3 linked regions of the Lonchura striata genome follow. The protein of the gene in region 1 binds, or shares a complex with, the protein of each later gene. Links are inferred from orthologs where the notes say so. Each region holds a gene or a part of one and is shown on either strand. Other genes may lie near its edges.

The links.
Region 2: PIGF (region 1) and PIGO share a complex: the UniProt entries of both Homo sapiens proteins name them as parts of the ethanolamine phosphate transferase 3 complex. The link is inferred for Lonchura striata from reciprocal best matches to the Homo sapiens genes PIGF and PIGO.
Region 3: PIGF (region 1) and PIGG share a complex: the UniProt entries of both Homo sapiens proteins name them as parts of the ethanolamine phosphate transferase 2 complex. The link is inferred for Lonchura striata from reciprocal best matches to the Homo sapiens genes PIGF and PIGG.

The regions. Positions count from the first base shown.
Region 1 is NC_134605.1:16,915,696-16,923,398, reverse strand, and holds the start of PIGF (GPI ethanolamine phosphate transferase, stabilizing subunit), read left to right. Parts: upstream 1-4,676; 5' UTR 4,677-4,786; coding exon 4,787-5,014; intron 5,015-6,643; coding exon 6,644-6,735; intron 6,736-7,597; coding exon 7,598-7,703. Other genes in the region: CRIPT (cysteine-rich PDZ-binding protein), read right to left, coding at 1,442-1,545, 2,193-2,247, 2,667-2,732, 4,578-4,593.
Region 2 is NC_134642.1:40,254,111-40,261,898, forward strand, and holds the start of PIGO (GPI ethanolamine phosphate transferase 3, catalytic subunit), read left to right. Parts: upstream 1-4,749; 5' UTR 4,750-4,798; intron 4,799-5,156; 5' UTR 5,157-5,157; coding exon 5,158-5,650; intron 5,651-7,564; coding exon 7,565-7,708; intron 7,709-7,788. Other genes in the region: STOML2 (stomatin-like protein 2, mitochondrial), read left to right, coding at 212-270, 524-625, 1,243-1,377, 2,498-2,642, 2,965-3,044, 3,256-3,384, 3,860-3,991.
Region 3 is NC_134642.1:4,203,472-4,210,995, forward strand, and holds the start of PIGG (GPI ethanolamine phosphate transferase 2, catalytic subunit), read right to left. Parts: upstream 3,103-7,524; 5' UTR 3,055-3,102; coding exon 2,895-3,054; intron 1-2,894.

The sequences.
Region 1 (7,703 bases):
AACACTGATGTCCTAAACTCTAAGAGTGTCAAGTCAAAAGACCAGAGCACCAGAATATATACAAGTTTGGCAGAGGGGTGGATTGTCTCAATCTTTCCCTCTCCTATCACAGCAGAAAGGTGCTAAATCTTTTATCTGGTAGGACCACACCTCAATTTACACAAACATTCAGCTGCAGACAAAAAATGTCAAGTGGCATCTACTCCTGCTTTCTCCAAATTGTGTGCTTTCATATACTGACATCATGACTATCATATCTAGCAGTCCATTAGGGAAGAGAACAGCAGGGAACACGGCACACGATTTACTCTGGAGACCAAAATTCAGCCCACTAAATATTGACTTCAGGTCTAAACTAAGGATTAATTAACTTGAGATTGCTTCTCAATTTCAGAAATATGCAAAAGCTGAAGCACTGAGCTGTATGAATGCATTTGCTTCAAGAAGGATGCCCTAATGACATCTTTGATGGTCAGAGCTAGAACCTAAAGCACTTAGAAAGTTCTTAATTTTATGAAGATAACAGGTTTAACCTGAAAAGATACACAAAGATCAAATCCTGAAGTCCACCCAAACCAGACATAAATTTAAGAGAGAGTACAAGGTTCTACTGAATGGGGTTCAGTCTGGGAAGGACCTAGCAGGCAACATTCCTACAGCAGGCTGCTAAACCACTGACTCAGTGACACAGCACATATTTATTGAACATTTAATTTCATAAACAAAACTTACTATTGGTGAGCTGTAGGTCTACACTCAAAAAACAGTTCACCTCATGTGCTATAATAAAATTCTTTGGCATCAAATCACGTAACTGACTTTATGATAAGCTTTTTTCCATCTAGGAATTTTAGATTTAGCTATTATAAAAAGGGAAGAGGAGAGAAGGGATGAGAAAAGGGACTGCAACAAGCAATTGAGTTTTAGAACTTGTTAGATGAGAGTTCTCTATGCAATTGCCTAGATTAAGTTTCCAAATGTACTATTTCAGACACTGGAAACATTATAAAATAAGCAGAATTACAGAATGACAAGGGTTTAAAATAATCTCCTTCAGTCTCTAGTCCTGCCCCACTTAAAACAGCCAACTTGGATAAGGCTGGCTCAGGACTGTTCAAGCCATTCTCTGAATACCAGATTTAAAGATTTCACAACCACTGATGGTACCTGCTACTAGAGTATTTGATCACCCCCAGACTGAAAAATTGCTTTCCTTGCATGAAATTAGAATTTTCCACATTCTAACCTGTGTACATTATTTCTTATTCTATTTCTGTGTACCTAAGAGTCTGACTCCATGTTCCCTGTGCCTGCCTATCAGTAGCTGAAGATAGCAATTAAATCTCATCTTAACCTTCTCTTCACAAATACAAATTTAAGTGTTGTACCTCCTCTCTTGACCAAGCCAAAGTGGAGTATTTTGGCACTCAATGAAGCTCACCTTTTTTATAGGCACATCCTTGACAATAGTGGGACCCTGGCTGATGGACAGAACTCTTACAAATCCGACATATTGCAAATTTATTCTTTCCATAAGGATCAAACCTGGGAAAAAGGAAAAGTACTTTATTTATACTCCTTGAAACGAAGTATTTTTTCTGCCTCATTTTAAAAGTCTAAGCCAGAGGGTGCAGTCAGAAACTCCAGCAAAAACTGTAATTTAGAAAAGAGACATGCAAGAATTATTTCTAACAGGCTACACAAAGTATGCAGAAAAGCTCCCACTTTCCCTATTGAGAGACATTTCTTCCACCACAGACAACTTCATGAAAGCAGAACAAAAAATATTTATTTTTATTAAGATACTAAATGACTTTGAAGTTAAACACCTCCCAGCAGCATCTTGCCCCCTTGCAAACAGAAAGTCCTGCAGACATGCAGGAAATGCTCAAGAGATTATCCTGGCAATATTAGCACAGAAAATAAGTATTCTCAGCTTCTCTCCTACAAAAGCATCAAATCCTAGCAATTCCAGTGAGAACTGCAGCAAAATACTCCATGACTGAGCAGAAAGCACCCATGAAATATGTATGGACATATTTTTACCGACAAATCAAATACCTTAAGTCTGCAATTTTAATTTATTAAGTGTATTTGGACAAGTTTGGAGTAGCTGCCCAGCTATGTAGGAAACAGGTCTCAGTTAGTTTGCTAAATGATGTTCTTGGCCAAAATCAGTATTAAGGACTAACCTTGCCTTCTTTGAGGTCAATGCCTTGTTTTCATTTAATTTGCGACCACCGCTTTCTAAAAAAAAAAAAAAAATCAATAACCCCATTCCAACATTCCAAGCATACTTTAAAAATCCTCATTTACAACTTTTACACATATGCAAATAAAGTCACGAAGAGAGATTAAATATTCAGCACAGCATTGGAGACAGGGTAACAGAACACTTTATGCTCTGTTTAAATACTCTATGTATTGTCCTCCCATGCAAGAAAGAAAAAAACTCCAGAAAACAAAACCAGACCAATTCAATACCAAAGAGTTCTGGACAAATAAATTCCCAATGCATTAAATCAGCATGGGAGGGAAAGTACATGACTTAATATTTAACATGATTAGTAATATAAAGTTTTGGTCTTAAGATGTTAACATAGCTCAGGTGCACAGCTGGCTTTATAATACCTCAAAACCAAGCTGCTAAACCTTGCTGAGGTTACCTGTAGTGTTTCTTGCACCATCTTTCCATGTATCAGGAGTGATCACTGTTCCAAGCTTCTTCTCACCTACATAAGGAAACATTACAAAGGAAAAAGCTAAGAATCACGGAGTCAATTACGTTGGAAAAGCCCTCTGAATTTGTCAAGTCCAACCTGTGACCAATTACCAGCATGTACCTCGACCTTGGCACCGAGTGCCACATCCAGTCTTTCTTTAAGCACCTTCAGGGATGGTGACTCCACCACCTTCCTGGGCAGCCCATTCCAAGTCTCCATGACTAGGAAAGAATTCTGAATGTCCAACCTAAACGCGCCCTGGTCCAGTTTAAGACTGAGTCCTCTTGTCCTGTCACTGGTAGCCTGGCAGAAGAGGCCCGTCCCCACCTGCCTACAACCTCCTTTCAGGGACTTGAGGAGGGTGATGAGGCCATCCCTGAGTCTCCTTCTTTTCAGACTAAAAAACCCCTACAACCTCGGCTGCTCCTCATCACATCTTCTGTTCCAGACCCTTCACCAGCACTGCTGCCCTTCTGTGGCCTTGCTTTGCCACCTCAATGTCTTTTTGTAGCGAGGTGCCCAGAGCTGAACAGAGCACCTGAGGTGCGGCTTCACCAGTGCCGAGCACAGTGGGACAATCCCTTCCCTGGCCTTGCTGCTCACGCTAGTGATGATACAGGACAGAATAATTTAAACGATGCACATCGATATGTGCCACAGGCGGAGAAGGACAGCTCACACAGAGGAGAAGGACAGCTCACACAGGGGAGAACCACAGCTCACACAGGGGAGAACCACAGCTCACACAGGGGAGAAGGACAGCTCACACAGGGGAGAAGGACTGCTCACACAGAGGAGAAGGACAGCTCACACAGGGGAGAAGGACAGCTCACACAGGGGAGAAGGACTGCTCACACAGGGGAGAAGGACTGCTCACACAGGGGAGAAGGACTGCTCAACAGGGGAGAACCACAGCTCACACAGGGGAGAAGGACTGCTCACACAGGGGAGAAGGACAGCTCACACAGAGGAGAAGGACAGCTCACACAGGGGAGAAGGACAGCTCACACAGGGGAGAAGGACAGCTCACACAGAGGAGAAGGACAGCTCACACAGAGGAGAAGGACAGCTCACACAGGGGAGAAGGACTGCTCACACAGGGGAGAAGGACTGCTCACACAGGGGAGAAGGACAGCTCACACAGAGGAGAAGGACAGCTCACACAGGGGAGAAGGACAGCTCACACAGGGGAGAAGGACTGCTCAACAGGGGAGAACCACAGCTCACACAGGGGAGAAGGACAGCTCACACAGGGGAGAAGGACAGCTCACACAGGGGAGAACCACAGCTCACATAGGGGAGAACCACAGCTCACACAGGGGAGAAGGACAGCTCACACAGGGGAGAACCACAGCTCACACAGGGGAGAAGGACTGCTCACACAGGGGAGAAGGACAGCTCACACAGGCGAGAAGGACAGCTCACACAGGGGAGAAGGACAGCTCACACAGGGGAGAAGGACTGCTCACACAGGGGAGAAGGACAGCTCACACAGGGGAGAAGGACTGCTCACACAGGCGAGAAGGACAGCTCACACAGGCGAGAAGGACAGCTCACACAGGCGAGAAGGACAGCTCACACAGGGGAGAAGGACAGCTCACACAGGGGAGAACCACAGCTCACACAGAGGAGAAGGACAGCTCACATAGGGGAGAACCACAGCTCACACAGGGCCCTGCCGGGACCGCCCCCCGCGGCCTGCCCTGAGCAGCCCGGGACCCGCGGCTGCCGCTCCGCTCAGGGCAGCCCTGGATCCGCTCAGGGCAGCCCTGGATCCGCTCAGGGCAGCCCTGGATGCCCTCGGGCAGGCCCAGGCGGTCGGGCAGCCCTGGATCCCCTCCGCCCCGTACTCACACTTGTCGCACACCATGGCGCCCCTCCGCCGCCGCTTCCGGCACCGCCCCGGAGGTGCCGCCGGCCGGGCCCCGCCGCCTTCCGCTGCCGGGCGGGGTTTGGCTTTTCGAACGGGCGCTGCTTCCTGCCCCAGCACCCTCCCCTTCTCCCGCCGCCGGGCCCGGAGCTCCGTCCCGGGCCGGGGCGATGCTGCGGCGCTGCCCGGCGCCATGAGCGGGGCGGAGGTCGGGCGGCTGCTGGCTGCCAACCTGCTCCGCGCTCTGGCCGTCGTCCTGGCCGCCCTGGCCCCGGCTTTCCTCCTGGACGGATTCAGCGTCCTGGGAACGCACCTCACCTGGCTGTGTGTTTGTTCTGTCTGTGTTGCTGCCCTCGATATAATCTTGCACTTAGTCCTTAAACCAAACCAGTCTCCTAAGAGACGTTCCTTTGCTCACAAGGTAAGACTTTTAAAAAAAATTCTTACGTTGTTGCCAGTCAATCCAGAGGGGAAGCAAATTCTCTATCTCATTTAAAATAATCAAATGAAAAAAAACCAACCGATTTTTGATGGTGAATTCTCATTTTCTATCAGTGAGTTGAGTGTAGCATCTCTTGAAACAAATTTTTCAGTATTTTCATGATGTTAAACTTTCCCTACCTGTAAGTAACCTGTTCAGATGAGTGAGTCTATGCTTTCCTGATTCTTGCCAATGCAATATTGTTTATTGTCCCAGGAATTTGCGTGGTGGCAAAACCTGGCAAAATTAAATGGCACAGAACTAATTTTGTAGTCCAGGCCTGACTCATCTTCTTGGTAAGTGGATATACCAGGAAGAAATGTCATCACACGTTCCTCATGTGGAGTTGTAAGTTTGTAATAACTTTAAGAGGAAAAAAAATAAATTCAGAATCTGACACATAAAAGAGATACTATGCTACATTTCAACAACTGAAAAAAAAATTACATGGAAAGGTATTAAAATGCCTGCATTTCCTCGTATGATGAAATTTGCATACAGATCTTAATTTGGGAGAAGCTTTTTGTAGTTAGTTTGCAACGGGGAGTGTTAAAGGTGTGAATCCCAATGAAATACTTTGGAACAGAGTGGTTTTGGAGCAGCACACGACTTGCCCAGCAGTGGAGGAATACCCCAGGGTTTTGAAATCGGGTGGGGATAGTCTCACTCCTGACATGCTGAGCCAGGCAAGATGTAGTGCTCTGAGGTGGTTCTTAAATGTTTAAGTGATCTTCCCTGCCAGCATCTCTTTGTGTGCAAAGCTTGTGTATAGTTTTGCTGACTGAGGAGGATATGAAATGCACAAAACCATGATGGAAAGCAAGTATTTTAACCATCCATAATTTAAAAATGAAGCACACATCATGTTCTAGGTGAGATTTTATCCTAGGAAGAAAAAATAGGTAGGAGTAAATATAGAAAAATAAGGGAAGTTACAGATTCAGAACAGACCTGATCAAAACAGACCTCACCAGAACTGTGTATAAAGTGTTTTTGCCTCTACGTGATACAGTGAGTACCCAGAAACTGTTAAGTTCATAGAAAAGTGTATATATATAACTTACAGAAAGTTATGGATATTTCTCAAATATATTCAGAATTTAAGATGCCAAGTTCAAAATGTAGTTTTAGTTAATGTAATTTTGAATCTTTGTTTAGCAGACTTTTAATATATTGTATGTTTTCTTGCTTTTAAATTTTTTTCACTTTTTGTGAGAGTTGCTTTTTAATGAATGGATATGACAGATGTAAAACAGAAGTGTAAAAATGTCCAATAAAATTACTTCTGCTTATCTTGTAATTTCTGGTTATATTTTTTGTATGTTTTCCCTGTTTTAATGGGATGCGTGAAAAAAAAAATTGTAGGTGGATTGTGATGATTTTAAATTAATTATTTCAAGTACTAATATATGGAAAACTGTTTTGAAATATGCCATGCTATTATATTGTGCTTCAGCTGAAATTAAAGTACTAATCAGAATACAATGCACTTGATAAAGATTTAGAGGGTGTGTGTTACTTATGTTCTGTTTTGAAGCATTATTCTGATATTTCATTGCTCTTTTTTAGATATCCAGATTTCTAAAATGCTGTATATACTTTTTCATGTCTTGCATACTATTTCATGCGATTATTGTTCTTTATGGAGCACCTCTCATAGAGTAAGTCAAAAGACCCTCTCTTTCTCTAAATATTCTAAGGGGCAGCTCTCCCTGCAGATGTTGGTATAAATACTTGTGTATTTTCTCGTACACTAGAAGTTAAGGGATAAGCTCCTAGCTGGGGGAAGAAAGGTGGCTGTTTCAGCTTTCTCTTGGTTTTGGGTTGGTGGTTGGTTTTTTTGGGGGTTTTTTTTGGGTTTTTTTTGCTTGTTCAGTTGTTTTGTTTGGAAGCCAGCTTTTAAATGAGACTTCTATAAATAAAAACTGTAATACAGTTACAAACAGCTTCTTTAATTTTTATGTTCGACATATGGGCACAAATATTTTTTGTAGCTTTATTTAGTCATTTTCCCTATATGATTCTAAACCACATGGCTTGTCTTTCATCCTTTTGATGTTAGTGTTTTAACTTTTTTGAAAGTTTAATGAAAGAAGTGTGAAGCAACCTGGGTTTTGAAAGATATACTAAGTTGTTGACTAACAGTAGTTTAATGTAGTTTGGTTTCATGGTTGCTGTTACAACTGGAAAAATGGAATCATTAAATTGGTAAATATCCAAGAATACTTCAGTTTAGAACTAATGATCTATGTGAAGTACACCTGTGGTTTTTTAAAAATATTACAGGTCTCAGCCATTTCAAAAAATTACTACATCTCACTCTTGAGATAACAGCAGAACTCTTTCAAGCTTCCTTTACTATTCTACAGAGTAAGAAAAAAATATTTTATTCCTTTATATGAAGTTTAAGAAAGCGAACATGCTTTCACAAGTTGAATGAGAGGGACTTTGTTCTTCCTAAATCTTGGAACTTTTAGAAAAACCACCTCACTTAATTTTGTAATATTCTTTTTCTTTTTGTAGGTTAGTGACTGAGACATTTTTGTTTGCAGTTCTTCTGTCTACATACACTACTTTACAATGCTTGTGTTTGCTGGGACCAAACATACAGGCATGGATACGGGTATTT
Region 2 (7,788 bases), on another chromosome or scaffold:
TCAAAACATCATAGTGTTGTCCAGGGAATGTAAGATCCTTTTTACAAAGCCTTTAGATAGGAAGATCTATTTCAGCCAATCCTCTTCTGCATCATGCTGATATGTCACAGTGAAAAAGGATGAGCCTGCCCAGCTGTGCTGTGGAAGAGGGGGTTTCTGTGTTTTGTTTGTGCTGGTTCACTAAACAGGCTCTGCTGTTCTCTCCTGACAGATAACGTCACCCTGCAGATCGATGGTGTGCTCTACTTGCGGGTTATGGACCCCTACAAGGTACCATCCCTGTCCCTTGGGCACGTTTTTTCTGGCTCTGCCCACTCCCTGCTCCCCAAAATGTGTACTCCAGCCTCTGTGTCCTGCCTGGCGGGTGGGCTGGGCACTCTGACTCATCCCAAGGCTCCAGACTCCATGTTTTCAGCAGGGATGTCTGGCAGATTTCTTGCTGCAGTGCTGTTTGTCTCTCCTGCCTTGTTCAGGGTCCCTCTTGGCATCCCTATCCACTCTGTTTTGTGCTTCTGCTCTTCAGGCCAGCTACGGGGTGGAAGATCCTGAGTACGCAGTGACCCAGCTGGCCCAGACTACCATGAGATCTGAACTTGGCAAACTTTCCCTTGACAGAGTCTTCCGGGTGAGCTGGGGAGGTGGATCACAGAGCTGACAGTGTCTCCCAAAATCCCAGGACAGCCTGCATGGCCAGGCTGCTATGCCTAACAGCAAAATGCCCTTTTGCATAGAGGGCTTATGGCTTCTGTTTCAGTTGACCTATTGGTGAATCCTTGGAGATGGGTCTTCTTTCAGTTGATTTTTTCAACGGGAGCTATTTTTTGCCCTGCCCTGGGTTATTTGGAGGGGATGATGGGTGGTATGTGCCCAGACCCAGCTGGTTCTAGCCACCTTTTTTGAGTCAGTGACTCTTTGCTCAGCCCCAGTGATGAATATCCTTGACCTGTGTCATGGGGTGCTGTAATCCTTGTACTGCATTTGCTGGGAAGAAACTGGAGTTGCTGGCATTCTCTAGTATTCAGATGTTGTATCCCAGCAGCTTCAGTGTGAGGCACTGCTCTCCCTAGGAGTTGGTGACCCCTTCAGCAGCTGCAGGAAGCACCTAACCCTGCCCGAAACCTGTGGAGGTGATTTTTTCTGGCAGACCTTAGCCTGTAAGGGAGGTGTCTGTTTCCCTCCTGACACCTCTCTCATGCTAAACCCTTCTTCTCTGCTCTCTGCCATTTCTTCTGTGCCTCCCAGGAGCGGGAGTCCCTCAATGCCAGCATTGTGGATGCCATCAACCAGGCTTCAGACTGCTGGGGCATCCGGTGTCTGCGCTACGAGATCAAGGACATCCACGTGCCCCCACGTGTGAAGGAATCCATGCAGATGCAGGTGAGGCTCTCTGGGAGGGGGTTCTGGAACAAGAGGGAAGCTTCCTCTTCCATACTGCATTATAGAATCACAGAATCAATAAGATTGGAAAAGACTTCATCAAGCCCAGCCTATGAACAAACACTACCTTGTCTACCAGACCACGGCACCAAGTCCAATCTTTGCTTAAAGATCTCCACAAACAGTGTCACTGACACCTGTCTGGTAGCCCATTCCAATGTCTAATCACCCTTTCTGTGAAGAAATTCTTCCTAATGTCCAACCTAAACCTCCCCTGGTGTTGCTTGAGACTGTGTCCTCTCATCCTGTTGCTGACTACCTGGGAGAAGAGGCCAACCCCTGTGTGACTGCAACCTCCTTCCAGATAGTTGCAGAGAGTGATCAGGTCTGTTCTCAAGACCTTGTCTCCTCTTGTCCAGACTAAACAACCCCAGCTCTCTCAAGGACTTCTCATCAGACTTGTGCTCTAAATCTTCCCCAGCTCCATTGCTCTTTTTGGACACTCTAGCATCTCAATGTCCCTCTTGAGGTGCCGAGAACTGGACACAGGACTCAAAGCATGGCTCCCCAGTGCTGAGTACAAGGGGATAAATCACTTCCCTGGTCCTGCTGGCCACACTATTGTTGATAAGGGCTGTGGTTCATTATTGTTACCTGTCCATAGCTGGCAGCAGCCACCCCTTGTTCAGAAGGGCACTTTGGCTGCAGACATATAGCTACTGAACCAGTAACTCCTGTCATAATTTTTGTGGTATTGGCCCCTGCCTGCTACATACAAGCCCTGCCAAGTCCCTTTAAAATCCAATCTGTGGAGAAGCAAATCTCAGAGCTGAGATTTGAGAAAAACTGGACACCTTGGGAAAAGCTAGACACCAGATATTTGGGCTGGAATAGGAGGAGAGGGAAGGAACTGTCCACTTAGGTGGGAATGGGGCTGGAAGGGCTGTGTGGCATGAGGAGCAGAACTAGCCCTTGCCAAGACCACACAGTGTTCTGTAGCTGTATTTTCATGCTTTGCTAAGCCATGCTTCCCCCAGCAGAACAGAGGAGCATGAATGCCCCAAAGATGGTATTTCCTCATCACGCCCATGGCAGGCTGGTGTCTGACCTGTGTTTGCAGGTGGAGGCAGAACGACGGAAACGGGCAACTGTGCTGGAGTCAGAGGGGACGAGGGAGTCAGCTATCAATGTGGCTGAAGGCCAGAAGCAGGCCCAGATCTTGGCATCAGAAGCTGAGAAGGCTGAACAGATCAACAAAGCTGCTGGTAGTGCCTGGGGATAAAATGTGGGTTTCTGTAGTCCTCTGGACTGAGGGGTGGTGCTGTGGGGGAGACTGCATCGCTGTGAGCCAGGCTTCCTCAGCCACTGATTCTTCCCTCCTGGGGCCTCAGGCTAAGCTCCAGTTGATGTTGCTGTCCTGCCCCAACCTCCTGTAAGCAGGAGGCTTGCAATAGTGTTGCTCTTGGGGAAAATCCAACCATGCGTGGATTGAAATTGTCTTGATTCACTCCCTGAGATGGTTGGGATTCAGTCCTTGTGAGTGCTTTGTCGTGATTCTGATGTGCACCTTGCTGTGGTTCTTTGCAGGGGAAGCAAATGCCATGCTGGTCAAGGCCAGGGCCAAGGCAGAGGCAATTCAGCTCCTGGCCGCTGCTCTGGCACAGCAGGTGAGTGATGGCTACCTGGAGCAGCCACTGCTTTGGTGCTGGCACTGGGGGAGGTGAAACTGCAGGTAGGGTGGCATCTGGTTTTCTCCTGGACACTCCCTGGCACCTTCGGAAGCAGCAGGGAGTGAGGATCTTTGCTGGACTGGGGTGGGCTGGGGATACAGGCAGGGATGAGCTGTTGGTGGTACGTGACTTGTCCCTCTGTCCCCAGCACGGCAATGCTGCTGCCTCCCTGTCTGTGGCAGAGCAGTATGTGAACGCTTTCTCCAAGATTGCCAAAGACTCCAACACTGTTCTGCTGCCTGCCAACACCGGCGATGTCACCAACATGGTTGCACAGGTCAGTGTAGCCCATGTGTCCTGGGCTGCGTCCAGAGCCCCGTGGGCAGCAGGGGAAGGAGGGGATTCTGCCCCTCTGCTCTGCTGAGACCCACCTGGAGCACTGCATCCAGCCCTGGGCTCCCAGCACGGGAGGGACAGGGACCCAATGGAGTCAGCCCAGAGGAGGCCACCAAGATCATCAGAGGGAGGGAGCACCTTGGCTGGCTGTGAGGAAAGGCTGAGGGGGTTGCTCAGAGAAGCTGTGGGTGCCCCATCCTGGGAAGTGTTTGTGGTCAGGTGGGATGGGGCTCTGAGCAACCTGCTCCAGTGCGGGGTGTGGAGGGGCATGAAAAAGATCTTTGAGATCCCTTCCAACCCAAGCTGTTCTTGCTCTCACCCAAGTGAGGATTGTTCCAGGGAGGTGAAGAGGCCATCAGGGTGGGGCCTGGCCCTCTCCTCTCCTTCCCTCCCTATGACTGTCTCATTCCCTCCAGGCCCTGGGGATCTACACTACACTGACCAAGCCACAAGCTGTGAAGACCCAAGATGAGATGCCCCCAGCCCAGGAGAACTCCCACTCTCCTGCCACAGAGGTGCTGAAGGCAGAACAGGGCAGCTCCAGCTAACAGGGCTGGAAGGATCTCATACCCTCTCCTGAGGCCTGCCAGCAGTCCTGCTCTGCTGGAGGCAGTCAATCTTGTTCCCTTAGTCCCTATTTTGTATTGGATTTAAATCATGTAATAAATGGTAACAGTACTGCTGCAGCATGTTCCCTCATGCTTGGGTGCCTGACCCTAGCATTCAATGCCAAAGGGGGATCATCCCTCCTCAGCAGGCTTCTGCTGGGATTTCCCATGGATATGCAGTGACATATAAGAGTGAAAAACGATGTTAAGAAAAAAATCTGTGAGCATGGTGAGGTGCTGGCACAGGTTGTTCTGGGAAGTTGTGGATGAGGCTCTGAGCAACCTGATCAAGTTGAAGGTGTCCCTGCTCACAGCAGGGGGGTTGGAACTAGATGATCTTCAAGGTACCTTTCCAACCCAAGCTGTTTTATGATTTGTGAATTTGGAAACCCCACTCTTACGAAGGATACCTCTCCCAGTGCATCGCCTCTCTGGGAGTGTCAGCTACTCTCATCATCCTGTCCTCTGTCTGCTCCCAGAAGCTGCCCCTACAGTGTATGACTGTGTTCTCTACAGCGAGCTCCTCACATCGCCCAGCACAGGGCCGGGAGTGCTTCTGTCGATTAATTAATTATTTGATTAATTAAAACCACACTTTCGCCGTTGCGAGCGCACCTGGCGTGGCGGGAGGCGCGCTGAGACCTCCTGGGCGCCAGGAGGCGCTGCCGCCGCAGGCCGCTCCCCGCCGTGCCGCTCCAGCGCGGTCGGCGCCACGCGCGGCGCTTCCGGGAGCGCCGGGCGCCGCAGGTGGGCCGGGGTCAGGTGGGCCGGGGATCAGAAAGGCGCTGTGAGGGGCTGGGGCGTGGGGGACACAGCGGCGTGGGTGGGGGCTGGGCGTGTGTGAATGGGAATGCGGGTGTCGGGAGGGGGCTGGGGGTGCCGGGCAGCGCTGGGCAGTCGGGAGGGAGCAGGATTCAGCTCCGTCCGGGAGGGGATACAAGGAAGTGCGTGGGGCAGTTGCCGGACACGGAGTGGGACCAAGGGAAGTCAAGGCGGGCTGGGTGGGTGTGGGAGGTGCTGGGCCAGGGATGGGTGTCGGTACGGAGGGAGTGGTGTCTGCCCAGGTAGAGCCGCTGGGGCTGAACCTGCCTGTCCTTCCCTCTAGGATGCAGCGGTGGCCAGTGGTGCTTTTCCTGGCCTGGGTTTGCCTTCTCTTTTTTGCCGGTATCGGGCTCTTCATGAGCGGCTTCCTGCTCACCCGGATCGAGCTTGCCAGCAGCAGTTCCTGCTCAGACCCGGTCGTGCCTCCACTCTGGGAGAGGCAGAGCCTCCCACCAGGCTCCTGCTGGGTTCCCCAACGCTTTTCCAAGGCCGTGCTCATCATCATTGACGCTCTCCATTTTGAGTTTGCCCACTTTGACCCCGCCAAGACCAGCCCACTGCCCTACGAGAACAAGCTGGGTGTCCTGCACCAGCTGGCCACCTCCCAGCCCCGCCATGCCCGGCTCTACCGCTTCCGAGCCGACCCCCCCACGGCCACCATGCAGCGCATCAAGGGCCTCACCACCGGCTCGCTGCCCACCTTCATCGACGTGGGCAGCAACTTTGCCTCCTACGCCATCCAGGAGGACAACCTGCTGGCACAGCTGGTGCAGAATGGTGAGTTCCTGGCCTTTAGCTCAGGCGAGGGAGTTTCAGAGTGGATATAAAAAACCATTTTTTCACAGCTATACGAATAGGTTGCCCAGGGAAATGGTGGAGTCACCATCCCTGGAAGTGCTTAAGAGACTCTCAGATCTTGTGCTGCATGGTGTGGTTTGGGGTTTATAGTGGTGGGTGGATGATTGGATGGATGGTTTTTAAGGTCTCTTTCAACCTTGATGATTCTGTGTCTGGGGCTGTTCAGCCTGGAGAAGAGAAGGTTGTACAGCAACCTCATAGCAGCCTTCCAGTACCTGAAGGGGACCTACAGAGAAGCTGGAAATTAAATCTTTGTCAGGAACTGTAGCAATAGAATGAAGAGGAATGGGTAAAAATTGATGGAGAAGTTTAAGTTAGACATGAAGAAGAAATTCTTTACTATGAGGGTGGTGAGACACTGAAACAGGATCCCCAGGAAGGTTGTAGATGCCTCATCCCTGGCAGCGTTCAAGGCCATGCTGAATAAAGCCTCGGACAACCTGATCTAGTGGGATCTAGTGATCCCATCCTACCCATGGGATGGGGCTTGGAAGTGGATGATCTTTAAGGTCCCTTCCAGTCTCTTAACATTCTGTGATTCTCTGTGGGCAGGGCAGCAGCCCAGTGGAGCAGGGCACATGCAAACTCTTCTCAGTTTAACCTGTATTCCAAATCTTGATTACTTTCTCCCTGGGAAGTGCACCCCTTACAACAGATCCACCCTGTGAGCTGATTCTTTATCCTGCTTTGTGACAATTGCTTAAGGCAGGGTTGTCATGCAGGCAGGACATGGGTTGGGAATGAGATGAGAAGTGCTGTAACAATGACTTCATCATCTTCAAGGATGATGAGAAAGCAGGCAAAAGTGGCAACACTGGTGGTGTTTGTCCCAAGGTCACCCCCAGGAATCCCTGTAGGATTGCCAAGGTTGTGTTGTGTGAGGCACGTGACAGGGGAGGAGCCAGGTGTGCCAGGTGGTGCCAGGTGTGCTGTGGGGGTGTCCCTCAGGCAGCCAGCCTGCCTGGACAGCTGCCTGCAGGCATGAGACAGCAACCTCATCGCATTTTCATTGTGGTTTGATGCTGCTAGGGGGTGCTTAGTTCTGCTGTAAAGGGCTTGTTACAGTGGGATAATGGTGTAGAGGGAAGAGGGCAGGCCACAGTGGTTTGTTACCCAGAGAGACTTCCTCCCAAGGCTCACAATGGGCTAAGGCAACATGACTTTGAGTGAGCAAGGTGGGCAAATGTAGTGAATCACCTGAAGTAAAATGAAGATGGTGATCACCAGAGATCCTGTGCCAGAGTAGCAGTCTCAGAGAAAATGTTCCTTGCTTCCAGGCTGAAAACGCTCTGTGGAAATACAGCTGGCTGATGGCAGGCAGGGCAAGGAGAGCAAGGGCAGAGGGAAGCATCAGTGCTTTTGCCTTCTCTTTTCCATGTCTGAAAATTGTTTTTAAACGCCAGAACTCAGGACTCACATCTTCTCCTCCATCACCTGCTGCCTTGCATTTTGCAGTGGGGTCACGGGCCTCAGGTGAGGCTTTGTCTGCTTAATGCTGCACCCTGTGCACCCACCTGTGTTGTGGTGGCCCAAGAGCCTTTCTGCAGGGGTGATGTGTCAGATCAGCAATAAGTCCTGAGGTTATGCAGTGACTTTGTTGTAGGGGTATGACACAGCTTACAGATACTCGTAGACTGGTCCCTCCCTGTATTCAAAGTATTTTGCAGACAGATGGTCTTTTTTTTAGTGAAAATTTTAGTTTTGGGTGTGGGTTAGAGAAGAACCATTGCTCCAAATCCTGATGTGGGCCTGCTCAGGCTCTTTGGATTGTTGTGGTAGCAGCATGACTCAGGAGGGCTCCATCTCTCATTCGTTCCTTTCTCTCTGGCTCAGGAAGGAGAGTGGTCTTCATGGGTGATGATACATGGGAAGGACTCTTCCCAAAGAAGTTCTTCCGTTCCTATTTCTTCCCTTCTTTTAACGTAAAGGATCTTCACACTGTGGATGATGGGATCCTGCAGCATCTCTATCCAACTGGTAAGTAGATCTCTCACCAGGGCCTTGTGGTATTCCTACTGCAAATTTGAGGTAGGGCTGGAGGATTTTTTTCTGTTACA
Region 3 (7,524 bases), on another chromosome or scaffold:
GAATAACACAACAACTTCAATACCACCTCCAGGAAGTAAAACAAGATGTGAAAGGAATGTGGGACAGACATGAAATTGGGAAAACTAAGGAAAAGCTTTGAAATGGAGAGTGTTCTAAGTAATAAGAAGGAATAGGTGCTACCTCCTCTTTTTACTTCAGTAAAGCTGAACAAGTTGTCTGACAGACAATCTCTGTTCAAAAAAGACACAGCATTCACCTGTGCTAATACCCAGTTTTGCACATCACAACATAAACAGTGCTTCTGTGTGAAATCTCACCTTAAGATAACAGGAAGATTACAAAGAAAGAGACAGTGTCACTGAAACCTGCATGAAACAGATTTATGCATATTAACTCCCTTCAAGGTAGAAGACTGTATGACAGACTACTTCAGTGATGGCGGCTGCAGGGTCAAAATCCAATTCCAGAATTCCCTGAATATATAGGTGTGCATCAAGCAGTAGGCAACGCTATGCCTTCAAGCCCACCTCTTTCTCTTGCATGGACTTAATTCTGGCCACAGCAACTCTTCATCTGCATTGAACTTGGTCCACATGGTGACATTCAGGTCTTACAGCAGCATTTTTGCTCCAACCTCTATAGGTCTCATTTCTCTATCAGGAAGAAACACACAAGGGCAAAATGGAAGCAGGATATATCCTATCCACAGGCCTCTATCCAGACACCACTGTGTTGAATCAATTGTTCCATACATGCCTTATATAAAGTTAGGGGTTTTACAGTCCTTTAGAGTTTTTTTATGCAAAAGTGGTTGACAACTTGGAAGGTGGCAGATAATGGTGTGTCTAACACAACAACAACAAAAACAACCTCAGAAATTTTATTTTGGGGTACACAGATAAGCATCAACAACCTAACATTCACATACTAGTTACTGCTAGTGATTTTTCCATATCAGGAAATGGGAGAGGAGGGCACAGCAGGGATAAGAAGGAAATCACAACAAAATGCTGACTGCAAGCAATCCTAATTCAACTGAAAATTTTGTTTTTTCCAGGACTTGAATTATCAACTTATCCAGCATGCTTTAGCTCTCCATGAAAAGCAAGAAGGCATCACCAAGATGTTCTGCTAGTTACATCTTTCCCCTATCCACTGCTTAGAAAAGAAAGCTTGCTGGACACCAAAAATGTTCAGATCACAAACACATATGCCCTACTCCTAACTTCCTCCTGCAGTGTGATTTATAAGAAAGTCAAAGTGTTGAGAAGTTCAAATGGATTTGGAGTCATATATAAGCCACGTGAAAATACTTACTGTAAGATAGTTAAATCAACACAATGTCCAAGCCTGGCCATGCAGTATGCTTATTTATATCTGCCAGGATTACTTAGAAAACAGTTACTCTAACTGTTCAGGTCTATGAACCTGAACTTCTGTGAAGAAAACCACAGATTCTCTATCAAGAACATATTACAATAATGTGCTGCAAGCATTCAGTATCACAGTCTTCTCACAGCCAAGACAGCATGCACTCAACAGCAATCAGGAGTGTTCACAAAGGGAAACATTTCAAGAGTTAAAGAAGCACTGGAGAAATACTCTTTTCTGAATAGGTCTAAAGTAGGTTGAAAGCCTCCTGCATCATGGTTTAGTAAGCACTACCCTGCCTTTAGACCTTATCATGCAGGTATCACTCTGCAAGCACATTGTAACCAAGTACTACAGGAAATATTTTTCTACTGCCTTTCCATTTTTGCCTACTACACTTAGGCTTGCTCATGACATGCCTAATTTAAACTGCTTGTAGAGCCCTGTGGCACACACTTTTACTCTTCAACACAAACCCGTCCTTTCATACCCAAATTGTCTGACATCTCTGACAGTCTCCTTCTACATTAGTCTTCTCCTAAATAATCACATGTGAATGCAATATTTCACTCACAGCAGTCTATCAAATACCTGTGGCAGTCTTAGTAAACTCCAGGTAAAAATCAACCTGCCTTTCAGCAGAAACCACTCTGTCTGTTACCAGATTAGATTGTTTCTTGTTCTTGCTTAACCAATACCAGCATGTCACACTCTAAATCACACAACCTTCTGTTCTCTCCACTGCAACTCAAAATTTAAGTAAGCCTGTCCCTACAGGCACAACATCACACAGTTCAAAAGAATTAACAGTAAATATCAAGCAGCTGAAGACCCAGTTTGGGAGTTAGAGTCCTGCTCCAAAAAGTTAACCATAACTTAGTGTCCCAATCAAGAGCTTTGTATGAGCAAAATAATACTCAATCCAGGTGCCAAGTGAACTTGAAGTTTCATCCCACATGCTCCAAACTGGTGAAAAACCAGTCCCTCAAGCGCACAGTCCTCTTCTAATTACTTTAATACAGTTTGTGACTGAACATATGAGACAAGTATCCTTAAAAAGATTCTTGAAAATTCTGATTTCACAAATTCAGCTCTGGAATGGAGCAGGACCTGATAAAGAGTGATTTCACAAAAATGGTGATGGACGGCAACACTGTACATACTGCAACCTGCATTACTACGGTTGCTTTGTCACTACTGAGTTGTTAAAATCTCACTGAGGTGGCATTAAGGCACACACACCACAGAAACATCGCAGAAACAATGAATCTCGGACACAACAAGCCAGCGAATGATCACAAACGCGTGAGGCGATTCAGCTGAGGCGGCAGCATTTAATGCAAACCAGGTGCCACTGAACAGCACCGCGTATCACGGCTCAAAAAAGTGACAGCCGACGCTTGAGGCTTTTCGACTGTGAGCAGGTATTCCTGCCTGCGATCCGCAGCTACGTGAAAACCAGTTAAGTTCTAAGCTACTCGGGGAGCGGGTGTGGAAACTCGAGGGCGCTGCAGGAGCCGCGGCACCGAGGGCGGGCGCGCCGGGCGGCTGCTCGCGTTACCTGGGCCGGGCGGGGCCGGCTCGGCGGGAGGGTCCGCGCGGGCCTCTCTGCGGGGCACCGACCTGACGGGCAGCGGGAAGAAGCCGCGGAGGAACAGCGCGACGCCCAAAGCCTGCACGAGGAGGCAGGAGGCGGCGAACACCCCCGAGCGCAGCCGCATCCTGCCCGGGCACCAGCGACAGCGGCCCCCACCCGGCCCGGCCGGCGCTGCGCCGGCTCTGCGGGGCGGCACCTGCGGCCGCCCCCGCCCCTCCCGCCTGGCCCCGCCTCCGGCCCGCCGCCCGCCAACCAGCGACGACCGCGCTCCTCCAGTAAGCCTCGCTATTGGCCAGCGGCCCGCAGCCGCTCCGCGAGCGCGTACGGCAACACCGAACCGGAAGTACAGCCCCTCATTCCGCCCTCACAGCTCTCCTCACGCGCCCGCCTCCGACCCGCCTCTGGACCCGCCTCCAGACCCTCCTCATCCTGCCTCCGGACCCGCCTTGAGGCCTTCCTCCAGCCTTCTCATCCCTCCTCCGGACCCGCCTCCCGGACCCTCGTCCCACCCCGATCCCCGTGTCCCACCTCCGCAATCCGCCTGCGGGGCCCGTCCCGTTGTGCGTTCGGTCGCTGCGGTCCAGCCCCCACTTGGCACTCTCGTATCCCCATCTCGCGTCCCACACCTGCGACCCAACTCCCCATGGTGCCGCCACCCCGAGTTCCCACCCCTCATCCCACCCCGAGTTCCCACCCTTCATCCCACCTCGAGTTCCAACCCCTCATCCCACCTCGAGTTCCACCTCGAGTTCCAACCCCTCATCCCACCCCGAGTTCCAATCCCTCATCCCACCCCTCATCCCACCCCGAGTTCCCACCCCTCATCCCACCTCGAGTTCCACCTCGAGTTCCAACCCCTCATCCCACCCCGAGTTCCAACCCCTCATCCCACCCCGAGTTCCAATCCCTCATCCCACCCCTCATCCCACCCCGAGTTCCAATCCCTCATCCCACCCCGAGTTCCAACCCCACACCCCACCCCGAGTTCCCCGGGGAAGGTGAACACGGCGAAAGGAGGTTTGATGGATTGCTGCAGTAAAGAGCGCTTGGCAGGTGAGGAAGGAGTCCTTGTTGGTGTTTGGCAAGAGAATCTTTCCACGCTCAAACACACTCCCTCTTAATAAAACTGAATAGTGGTGTGGCTTAATTTTTCCATTGGAATGGAGATGGACTATGGTAGGCTGATCGTGTCAGAGGATGAGGAGAAGTCTTAAAGTTTAATTTTGTGAAAAAGGAAACAGAGCAAGAACCGTGTGAGCAGGCTCCAGGCTGGTTTTCCCACTGGGTCTTTTCTCTTAGCGCAAAGCATGACCTGTTTTGTGTAAACGCAGGCCAAATGCATTGTACAGTGTTTTCCTGCTGCAGTTGGTCAATTTGTGGTTTTACTGATGGTTTCACTGGCCAGCTGTTAATTCTGAGCTTTGCATCGCCTGCCACAAGGCAAAGTTGATGTGATGCAAGGAGTGTGTGTGAGTGGATTCAGGAGCATGTGTGAGTGGGTTCAGGATAAAAGTTTTGTATTTGGCCTTTACTAGGGTCTAAAAATACAGAGAAAAAAAAGTCAAGGAGCATGAGCCCTATGGATTCATGCTCTTTATGTATAAGCATCGCTGAGCACTATGCTACCTTTAGGCTACCTGAGTGCTTTTTCTGGCCACTTTTACCACTTCATGCTTCTACTGAGAATACTAATAGCATTTTCATTTATTGAGATTATCTAAAACCGTTACTTTTAAAATAAATTTCATTTTTGCCGACACTGTCCACTTGTTTCTTTGCAGAAGCACAACTCTGAAGGCCCATGAAAGTTAGTATTCCGTAATTAACTTCAGCTGATTATGAGCAGTGCAATGAAATTCAGAAAAACGTGCAAGGAATGTTGCTTGAAACAGTAGGACAAGGCAAAAAGCACTTTTGGGCCATTGCACTTAAACTTTAAAATGGCTTTAGGTAGTATACCTTAAAGTTACATTATTTGTACATCCAAGAAAAGCTGTATTTGTTGCTTTTTAAGGGTATTTTTCCTGCTCTTTAAACCTTGAACTAGTTAGACTCTCCAACCAGAAACTAGGAAAAGTTTCCTAACGAATATAAAGCAACCTAATATAGGCAATGTTTATGCATCACAAAACACCATCTAAGAAATATCTGTCTTCTTTTTATTTCATGTGTAAAGCTTACTTTCTCTTTCAGTAAGTGGAAATTCCCCAAGCTGCATCTTTGTCCCATCGTTCAAACCTTCAAATTCCCACAGAAGATCGGAATTTCTGTGTTCAGCAAAAAGAATTTCTCTACAGACATAAAAAACAGTATCTAGCATGTGATTCACACTCCCTCGGATCTGTCACTGGGTATTTAGTGAGTACCATCACCATTTGGCAAGTTCTTGCAGCAACATGCTTTCAAGTCCATTACTGTAGCACTTAACTGCAGGGCTCAAACACAGGAAGCATCCTGAGCATTGTACAAGACTTTAAATCGGTCTGTCTGTGAGTCTACAAGTGTGTTACAATATAATATATTGACAAGCACTGCTGTGCACTGCTGTGGCCGTTTTACAAGCTCTTGGGCATAACCTCCTCTGTTGTGCATAAAACATCTATGCCCTGAGAGCCAGTGGTTTCATGAGCATTCAGAGGAAGTGTTTGTGTGCTTCCCAGCACACAATCAGTGTCCATAAATTGTGCAATCACATGCGCCAGTTTATGCCAAGGGCTACTGGCTGACTCAAATAGCCTTTGGAAGGTTAAAGGTTCATGCCAGAATGTCTGGAAAGGTGCAATATAGTGCACTTCATGTGATTCAGAAGGCTTTTGTTTCATCAGAGCCAGCAAACATTTTAGAACACAGTGCAACCCATCCCTGTGGGAGATGAATTTGCATCTTTCCCTACGGGAGAGCATGTTGTTACTGCTGCTGTTGTGAAGAGCCACTCAAGCAAATTTACATCTCTGTATGCTGAGGAAGAAGAAAGAATTTAGTACTCTATGCAAAGCACTCTCTAGAGGCATTTTCCCAAATCTGCTGAGAAATCAGACTGAAAGCCAACCAAGCCTTGTCTTCAACAGACAAATGGAGGAACCAGTAGGAACACATTTTGGTTAGTGTCTTTGCCACCAACATTTAAAGCAACCAGGTGATATTTATAGTCACTCTGGCATCCCTCAGGCCTTTCTTCACTGAAGCAACTAGTAAAAAGTAGATAAGATAAAAAATTGTTGTGTTCCATGAGGGAGGAGCACCTTCCAACAGTCTCTGTGTCCTCTGCCACCACTGCCCATTAGTCAGCACTCAGCATATCTGCTTCCCCACCTCCTTCTCTCCTGCTTCTTTCACTTCTTATGTTTCACAATTTCATTAGAAACACAGACCCTATCTTCACTTCTCCTCTAGTCTGAAAATATGCAATAAGTTTTCTCAGGTTTTGTTTTTTTTTTTTTAATTTTTCCATTCTCTTACTTATCTTTATTTTGAATAATTCCCTTGTAGTTTTGCTCTCAGGCCTGCTGTTTATAAGTTCTGGGTATCTGCAGCTCATCACCTTGCTTTTTGAACTGCATCAGTTATTCTCCCTCTCTGGGCCTAATTTAACAGGATTTCACATCTGAATATGTGTGTTTATGTGAAACCTGCACATCTCTTCTGAAACTGGCAATGTCAGATAGGTAAACATCTCATGCCAATGGTTTAAACAGGCATTTCTTTTCTATAATCAGTGATAGCTCTTAAACTTATCCCTAATACATTTAATACTGTACTGGGGACATGCAAGTGAAGCAGGAATATGGACAGTGGCAAAATTGACATATATAAGCAAAAGCAATCATTTTTACATGCAAGGGGAGTGAGGAAGAATTAATTCAAAATTAAGTGAAGCTGTAATAAAAAAATAAAATAGACTTCCCAGGGTGTTCTGACACTCCGAAAGCACTGTGATGTAGTTAGAAATTCAGAAGGACACATAGTATTTTCTCTCCTATCATTTCTCCATTCTTCAGTACATGGCAATTTGAATGTATGTCAGGTCTCTGCTGTATTTAAGACACAGTAAAACATCAGAAAAGGTTATAAAAGACTGTCTGCTGAAGTGTGACTCTCCCTTCTCCATTCTGGTGCACTACAAAGCCTCCAGAGATTTGTAGTTGCTGAGGCAAAAGGCAAAGCAGAAGCATTGCATTGTAAACCCAGCTTCTGAAATTAAGACGAAACAGGAATTGCTTCACATAGAAAGAAAAACATGTTAAGAAATAATTCAATAGGCTTATCCATATAAAATAATTGATTGTCTGTCTTTGTGCACACGTGCACGTGTGTCTGCCTCCAGATTTAGCTATTTTGGAAACGCTGCTTGCAGAGCTTATGGGATTTGAGATTGAGGCAACCAGGGATCACTGGAGAAGATAACCCCTGATAACCCCTGAGCTGGTGAGCTGTAGGGAGCCAAAGCCTGGTTTGTTTCTGGAGACTGCAGACTTGTTACTTGCCGCAGTATGAGATTACTTGCTTTTGAAGGGGAAGCAAAGCTGCAGAGCAAGAACTAATTGAAGAAAGAAGATGCTTGTTAGTTTCCCCCAGAGCCTTGCACTCAAAGCTT